2 linked regions of the Coturnix japonica genome follow. The protein of the gene in region 1 purifies or fractionates together with the protein of each later gene. This does not show direct contact. Links are inferred from orthologs where the notes say so. Each region holds a gene or a part of one and is shown in the gene's direction. Other genes may lie near its edges.

Region 1 (4,294 bases):
CTGAAAGGTAAACCTTTCTGAAAGGTAAATATTTTTATATTCTTGAACTTTGTAGTATCTTAAAACTAGATTCCATTTTATTATTATTATTTTTAAATAAGGAAGAGGATTGTGGGTTTTTTAAATACCTTGTTTTAATTGGTCTCGTTTTTCTTGCTTTTACCATTGATCAAAAGCTGGTGTCATATTTAAGTGTTTTTAATAGCAAATTAAAGAAACAGTGCAAGAGTGGAATGCATTGTTGCCAAGAATGTGATGTTCTTACATGGACTGAGTGTGTCTGAGCACAGTCAGAATGAGAAAATGAGATTGCTTCAGCTGATGAAGCACTTGCAAGGAGTATTTCTGTCCTCTGACTGTATCCTTCCCAGGCCAGAACAGGCATTTCTGAAGGAACTCAAAGAGAAACAACCTGCTGAAGAATCAGATGGGGATGAATCTGGAGGGCAGGAGTGCCAGATTCTGGCAAGTTACTAAATGTTTAGTTGTAAAGCTGAAGAAAACAGAATTGGCTTAGTAGCCATTGGCAGAAAGTAAGTGTATTTCTGATGAGAAACCTAAGGCTTTCACTGCGATCTTCAGTGAGTTTTGTGTGTCAGATGCTCGGTGGGGCTCACTGTGGGACCTGTGTGCTCACCCGAGCTGGGAGGTGCACATACAGCTCTGACCCGAAGATGGGGAAGCACAACTGGCTGGCTCCCACTGATAGCACTCAGCCTCAACTCTCCTCTATCACATTTACCTGGGTCTCTTTGTGTAACCTCTTATCATCGGTAAGATCTGACACTGGCTTATCAGATACCTTAAAGCAGGTATAAATACATAGTTGTCGTCACCTGGTAACTCCTGTCTTTAATGGAATAAAATGTGCACTAGCATTGTGTAACCTACTGTCTGTGTGGTTTGTAGTTGAAGAATAAAGTCTCCTAAATTTAACAAATTGTGTAAAAATGTTTAAAGAAGCAATTAAAAATGAACTTAACTCCCTGTGAGCAACCTGGACTTGACCATAGCAGCATTTCAGCCTCACCAGGCATTGACCACAACGATTTGGCCTTGCACCATGCACTGGGCTCTGATCACTGCAACCTTGATGCAGCTTCCTATCACTGCTGCTCTGAATCCCCGCAGCTCCAAGAGGTGTTCATATTTTGCTTTTAGTCCTCCTTAGATAGCAGTAATCATCCTCCTACACCGCCTCTGTCCCATGATGGTCACCAGTGGGATCTCCCTGCCTTTATAGACCAGCATATTTCCACCCTGTGTTCCCTTGGGAGTGGGGACTGAGCGGCACATCGGGGTAAAGGCAGCAGGGGAAAGCAGACTGTGCTGCTCAGTAGCTGTAGCTCCCTATGTAGTGACTGGAAACAGGCACACATCAGCCCACATTCGGCTCAGACCCCCGTTCTCGTTCATCCCGGCCCATCCCGCCCTACTCCCCGCCGAGCCTCCGCCGCGCCCCCGTGCCGCCCGCAGTGCACGCCGGGAGCTGCCGGCCGGGTTGATCCGGGCCGGGCCGGGCCGCAGCGCCCGGCCCCACCTGAGAGCCCTGAGCCCGCTGACCACACCCCCGGCCGCTCCCCCGCCGGCGAGGCCCGGCCCATGGCAAAGAGCTCGGCCGGCGGCTGGGCGGCTCGGGGCCGGCCGTTTCCTGCCCGTCGGTAGCGGCGGGCGCCGTTGGGCTGCGCCATGCGGGACTACGAGGAGGTGACCGCCTTCCTGGGCGAGTGGGGCCGCTTCCAGCGCCTCGTCTTCTTCCTGCTCAGCGCCAGCATCATCCCCAACGGCTTCAACGGGCTGTCCATCGTCTTCCTGGCCGGTACCCCCGAGCACCGCTGCGCTGTGCCCCCCGGAGCCAACCTGAGCGAGGAGTGGCGGAACGCCAGCATCCCGCTGGAGCTGCGCGGCGGACTGACGGGGCCGAGCCGCTGCCGCCGCTACCGCCTGGCCGTGCTCGCCAACCTGTCGGCGCTGGGGCTGCGGCCCGGCTCCGACGTGCAGCTGGCGGAGCTGGAGCAGGAGCCGTGCCTGGACGGCTGGGAGTACAGCCGCGATGTGTACCACTCCACCATCGTCACCGAGGTGAGGGGAGCAGCGGGGCTTCAAGCTGAGCCCGCGGTCAGGCTCGTTTGGTGGGTTCCACCTGCAGAGCCCGTGTGTCAGCCAGGAGCTGCCGGCAGGACACGCCGTCCGCGCTGTGCTGCCAAGGGAGTGTGTGTGGATCTCAGCACTGCTGTCCCGGGCCACTCTCGGTGGCCCTGAGTGCTCCTGCTTTATATCTGGCATGCTGCATTTAGTTTGAGATCTAAGCTAATCTCTTCTGTTTAACTCCACTCGTAAAAGCGGTCTCAAACTGCAGTGTCTCAGCTCGTGTGGCCTGTATACAATGCCTGCAATTCAGCAGGTATCTGCTGGAGGACCTTGGGGAACAAGGATCGGCCCGGGAACAACGGGCTCAGTTGGCTTTATTGTTGGTGGTTCAAGGATGTCTCTTTGAACTCACACATCAAAAGGGGTTGGTTTATTTTCTTTATAAAGGAGGCAGAAGTCATCCTGCAGGTGCGGCAGTTGGATGCAGCAGGGGAGTCCTGTTCTGTGCTGTGCCACACAGGACCCAGAATTTGCTGCCTATCAGCCTGACACCTGCTGTCCCTGTTCAGCTCAGCTGTGTCCTGCCAGCAGAGCTTCAGACCCAAGCAGCCAGTGAGGCTGAGGCTGTGCTGCTTGTCCTTGTGTCAGGTGCAAGCTGCACAGACCCACAGGCACTGGTTGCCTTAAGACACAAAGAACTATTTGGGTTCCAAACTGCAGATAGGACTTTTCAGAAGGCTTGTTAACCATTTGTACCATTCAATTTCCTGTCTGTACATGTGAGCAACCTTTGCAGAACTGTAGCAATGTTTTCTGCCCAGTGGCCTTTGTTCTTTGCTCTGCCAAACAGAGATGGATGTTTGTGCCTGCTCACAGCTCTGAGCACTGAAATCCATCTCTGGTGAAGGAACGAAGTGAAGAAGAGACCGTGGGAGAGATGCCCTGTTAGCACAGGGGAGCATGGGCATGGCAAAATGTGAATTGTGAAAGCTTCCTTTGAACATGCACAGACCTTAGGGCTTGGGTAGCTGCCACAAGGTGTTGCCTCACCTGTTTCTTAAAGAACTGCTTTCTTCACAAAGAGTAAAACTAGTACCTGGTCATCAGTGCAATGTATGGCTATGAAGGGCCGATGTGCTCTCAGGACAGCTTAAGGTGGTTGGCATCCTCTGTAATACAGCATTTTGCAGGTGAATGTGCTGGTTTTGTCTTGAGTGCCCCAGTACTACAGTGGCTGTCCTGGTTGAAGCGTGGTTTGTCGGCACATTTTTCTCCCAGCTTTGACTCAGTGCAAGTTACAGTGTCTGAACTGTCAGCGCATCTTCCAGAAGCTGTGAGATCCCTAAGGAGAAGGAGCTGCTGATGTTCAGCTACGACTGCAGCAGCTCTGCACAGTTAGGCAGGAGTTTTGTGTCTGGGGGAGGCAGCGTGTGGTTGCCCAGACTTCATGCACCAAGGCAGTATTTTATTCTCCCTTTAATATTAACGCCTTGGAGCCAGTTTTGCAAGAGCTGTGGCCTTTCACACACTTGCAGGTTTTCTCTGTTCAACGTGTTTAATTTGCTGGCTTGGTGTTGCTGTTTTCATGGTTGACTAATGCTGTGTTTGGTTGCATATCTCCAACTCGTTGAATAATCATGAGGACCTTTGTCCCACATTTCAGGAGCTGACACGGGGAGGGGGATGGGGCATTTTTTAAGAAAGGTTTTTCTACAAATCTCTCCTGACTCCAGGGAAAACCCTCCGCTCTGTTTCTGCTCTGCACGGGAGACGTAACACATTCAGCTCTGTCTCATGTGACGATAGGCTTCCCTTTTTCCCAGCAGACATACAGCACAACGGTAGCCGGTCTGCCCTATTTAACCTGTTCCTCCGGAGCAAAATCCCTTTTTCCTCCTTTGCTTTTGGATAGGCTGTATCACGAGGCATAAGGAAAGCATTGCTTTAGTCAAAGTAACCGTTCCTCCCTGAGTCCCATTAAAAAACAAAAGAGAATGTAATCAGAAGAGTTTGTGTGTAATATCATATAGGGTAATTCAGGGGAAAGTCCAACTTCCTCTCCCAGTCCTGTGTGTGAATGCCTGGTATCTGCTGTGGGATCGAACTGAGCAGTGACTTAGGGCATTAATAGCATAGAGGAATCACATCATTAGTATACATTTGATGATGAAAACAGTTTGTGAGAATTCTTATGTACTCCCAT
Region 2 (4,093 bases), on another chromosome or scaffold:
CTTCATCTCCTGGAAATGGCAAAACAGTATCTTTATGGAAGTGAATTCTGCTTTGTTGAAGTGTATCCAGGGGAGGGACACATGAATGACCCAGTGATGGAACATCTCTCCTACGAGGATGGGTTGAGAGCTGGGGCTGCTCAGCCTAGAGAAGAGAAAGCTGCAGGGAGACCTGGAAGCGGCCTTTCTGCACCTAGGAAGAGCATGCAAGAAAGAAAGGGACAGACTCTACAGCAGGGTCTGCTGTGATAGGAGAAGGGGAAACGGTTTGAGGCTTAAAGAGGGTAGATTTACTTTAGAGATAAAGAAAAAGTCTATTACTGAGTGAGAGTGGTGAAAATGAGGGTGGTGAGGCACTGGAACAGGCTGCCCAGAGATGCGGCTGATGCCCTGTCCTTGCAGACTTACAAGGCCAGGCTGGGCAGGACTCTGAGCACCTGGTCAGATGTAGGAGTCCCTGTATGTTGTGGGATCGTTGGACCTGATGGCCTTCATGATCCTACGGTGTGACCCCAGCTCCTGGTTATGGGCTCCACCCTCCCCACCGCTGTTCGACCCGAGCCCCTCACCTTGATTCCTGTACTCAAAGAGCCGCGGGTCGGCCCGGATGGGGATAAGGCCCAGTCGGTGCGCCAGGATCTCGTCCTGCACGATGGACGTGTTGTTGTACACAAACACCTTTTCCACAGCCATGGTCGGCACCTCGGGGGGACGACAGAGCGAGGCGATAAGCCGCCAAGCAGGGCACCGCACGGGGACCATCCACTCGTCATGTCTCCCAGCCCCGCGGTACCTCAGCGAGCAGGATGCGGCGGAACGCGTTGGCGATGGCCGCGTCGATGCCCACCATGTCGAACTCGAGCACGCCGTCCTCCTCCCGCACCACGTCCACGCGGAACCCCTGCTCGGGAACCGCGCCGCGTCACGACGGAGCCGAACAAGGGGCCCCGCAGCAGCAGCTCCATCAGCTCCATCATCTCCATCAGCTCCCACTCACCTCCTCGAAGCGCCGCTGGTCCCACGCGTCGTCGTACCCGGGGTAGTTGCCTGGGAAGTCAGTGGTGTGGACCTGCGGGGGGCGCAGCCCGTGAGGCAGCGGGGGGTGATGCGGGAGCCGCCCCGCGTCCCGCCGCCCCACGCACGTTGCGGACGCCGAACTCGCCCAGCACCACGCGCTCCCGCATCTCGTCCGTGCCGCGCCGGGCCGCCATCGCCGACGGAAGGACGCGCCGCCGCCCCGCCCCGCCGCACGTAAGGCGGCCATGCGGAACTGACGGCTCTCGCGAGACACGGAGCGGCCGGACCGTCACATCCGCGTTGCCGTCCCCCGTTACCGGCGCTATGGCCGCGGCGGGCGGCAGGAGCGGCACCGCCGAGTGGGGCGGCTTTGAGGACAACGTGCAGGTGGGGCCGGCCCGCGGGGGGGGGGACAGAGGGGCCCGAGCGGGCGCTGACGATCCGTGCATCGGAGCAGGGCGGCGGCTCGGCCGTCATCGACATGGAGAACATGGACGACACGTCGGGCTCCAGCTTCGAGGACATGGGGGAGATGCACCAGCGCATGAAGGAGGAGGAGGACGAGGAGGCGGAGGGCGAGGCGGGGGCCGGCGGGGAAGAGGACGGCGAGTTCCTGGGCATGAAGGGGCTGCAGGGGCAGCTGGGCCGGCAGGTGGCCGACCAGGTGAGTGGGCTCACGAGCCGCCAACAGCCCCGCCGGCCCCGGCCCCGCCGCTGCACGTACCGTTCTGTCCGCAGATGTGGCAGGTGGGGAAGCGACAGGCGTCCAAAGCGTTCAGCCTCTACGCCAACATCGACATCCTGCGGCCATACTTCGACGTGGAGCCCGTCCAAGTGCGCACCAGGTGGGCAGGGCAGCGGGTGCACGGGATCTGTTGCTTCTTAATGACTGTCCTGATGTCGTTCCCCGCTGTGCCGTAATGCAGGTTGCTGGAGTCCATGGTGCCCGTCAAGATGATCAGTTTCCCACAGGTGAGTTCTCTCTCACTGAACCAGACCCCACAGCCTGAGTGACTGTTCCACAGAGACCCCTCAGATGTAATTAGCCTGTTATTAAGGATCCAAGTCTGTTAGATGTTCACCTCCCTCAAAGTATCAGTAAACCCTTTCCTATGGTTGTTCCAAACCCCATTCTCATAGAATTGTAATCATAGAACATCCTGAGTTGGAAGGGACTCATAAGGCTCACCTGGCTCCATACAGCACCACCCATAAATCAGACCATATAGCTGAGATCATTGTCCGGATGCTTCTTCAACTCCAGCCAGCTCACTGCTGTGACCGCTGCCCTGCACAGCCTGTGCCAGCGCTGCCTTTACCTTCCTGCTACCCTTAACGCTGGTACAGTTGTAGAACTCTAGACCTCACTTTGCCCATTTCTGCATCCTGTTGAACACCACTCTGACTCATCACAGTCTGTTCTGTGTGGCTTCTGTCAGCAGTGGCCTTGCAGATGCTCCTCGGGTGATAAAAGTCTCCAAGATGCTCGTTATGTCTCTCAGGGTGGAGAGCCTGGAAGACAGGAGCACTAACTAAGCCTCATCTCTCTCTTTACATGTAGAAGATTGCAGGTGAGCTTTACGGACCCCTCATGCTGGTCTTCACGCTGGTGGCCATCCTGTTGCATGGGATGAAGACCTCGGACACTATCATTGTATGGCGAGTCTCAGTGATTCATTTGTGCTTTGACCGGGTTTGGGATTGCTATAATGACACTGGAAAGGGAGAGGAAACCTCTTCTGTATCACAAGAGCTGAAAAGCAGATTTGATCTGAGGAAGATCCTTTTGGTTTTGGAGAGGGGAGGAAAGTTGCATCAGAAAGTCCCAATGCTCTGTAGCTGGGAGAGATGGGGTGTAGGTCGTGGGGCAACCTGCCTGCTGTTAAGCCAGCTGTTTGTATACATGTATGAAAGGCTCTGGGTGCTCTGCAGTGAAACTCAGGTGCTGGCAGGCCCTTGCTCTGAGTTCTCTCTGTCCTGCTGCTGTCTCCACAGAGGGAAGGCACACTGATGGGCACAGCCATTGGCACCTGCTTTGGTTACTGGTTGGGAGTCTCCTCTTTCATCTATTTCCTGGCATATCTGTGCAATGCCCAAATCACGATGGTGCAGATGCTGTCGCTGTTGGTATGTACGGATGGGGCTGCCCCAGGATGGATGCTGGCTGCGTGGTGTTCCAGAGGGGAGGGTAACCTGTGAGCTCTTCCCAGAGAGCTGGAAACATCTTTGTAAATGAGTGGTCCCAGATGACCATAACCTTGTTGCACAGGGACAACTTGGAATCCGGGATGATCTTTGGACCTGATCTGTCCCAGACACAGAGATGGCACAGAGCAGCTGTTAGTGCTTGCAAGTTTCCTCTTGGGGAGATTCTCATTTTTCTGGGATCAGAGGCTTTTTTCCTTGCATTTCCTAGATTGATGCAATCTCCAACAGTCCTGTGAATCCTTCTGACAGATGAGCTGGGTGTGAGCTCCTGTTAAATCTGTTGTGCTGGTTGACATTCTAGCACGGAGTGTGCAGTCTGCAAAGTAGTGCCTTGCTGAAACATTGCAAGCATTGGCTGTTTGTTGCTCAACAACCTTTTGTGTGCAAGTGACAACTGTAACATGGATGTGTTTGTTTTGCCAGGGCTATGGCCTTTTTGGACACTGCATCACTCTGCTTGTCACCTATAATATCCACTTCCATTCCCTCTTCTATGTTTTCTGGTTAGTCGTTGGTGGACTCTCTACACTGCGAATGGTAAGTGACTGGCAGCCCAGAGGGAAGTGTTTCTTGCTTTCTGTTCCTTGGGCCAGTCAAGTGATTCCACAGCTGGGTAGGGTGCTTAAAGAAAGCCTGATGCTTCTGGGCCATTTGGCTATTAGTGTGTGGCCTGGCTTACTGTCCTCACCCATTCTAACAGCTGCAGGAAGCCTGCTGTCTTATGTCCCCCGCTGCTCCAGAGATACTTGCTGAGCCCCCTTAACACTGAGTGAAACTGGGCAAGATTCATCTACCCAAAACAGTCAGATTTCCTAGTGCCAACTGTGAGGAAGGCTCTGAGCAGTGTTCCCACTGGCTCTCTGCTTAG

Evidence for each region. Proteins that work in one complex are often made in the same cells at the same time.
Region 2: the proteins of solute carrier family 22 member 5-like (region 1) and YIPF3 purify together in Homo sapiens (co-immunoprecipitation; 3 studies listed by BioGRID and IntAct, counting the BioPlex papers as one, with this or other methods). This does not show direct contact. The link is inferred for Coturnix japonica from reciprocal best matches to the Homo sapiens genes SLC22A5 and YIPF3.

What each region holds. Positions count from the first base shown.
Region 1 is NC_029528.1:1,336,027-1,340,320, reverse strand, and holds the start of solute carrier family 22 member 5-like, read left to right. Parts: upstream 1-1,494; 5' UTR 1,495-1,689; coding exon 1,690-2,082; intron 2,083-4,294. UniProt on the Homo sapiens protein: Sodium-ion dependent, high affinity carnitine transporter. Involved in the active cellular uptake of carnitine. Transports one sodium ion with one molecule of carnitine.
Region 2 is NC_029518.1:27,800,330-27,804,422, forward strand, and holds the start of YIPF3 (protein YIPF3), read left to right. Parts: upstream 1-1,293; 5' UTR 1,294-1,341; coding exon 1,342-1,404; intron 1,405-1,474; coding exon 1,475-1,681; intron 1,682-1,755; coding exon 1,756-1,862; intron 1,863-1,943; coding exon 1,944-1,989; intron 1,990-2,578; coding exon 2,579-2,671; intron 2,672-3,012; coding exon 3,013-3,144; intron 3,145-3,648; coding exon 3,649-3,762; intron 3,763-4,093. Other genes in the region: POLR1C (DNA-directed RNA polymerases I and III subunit RPAC1), read right to left, coding at 1-9, 570-702, 794-901, 998-1,069, 1,143-1,211. UniProt on the Homo sapiens protein: Involved in the maintenance of the Golgi structure. May play a role in hematopoiesis.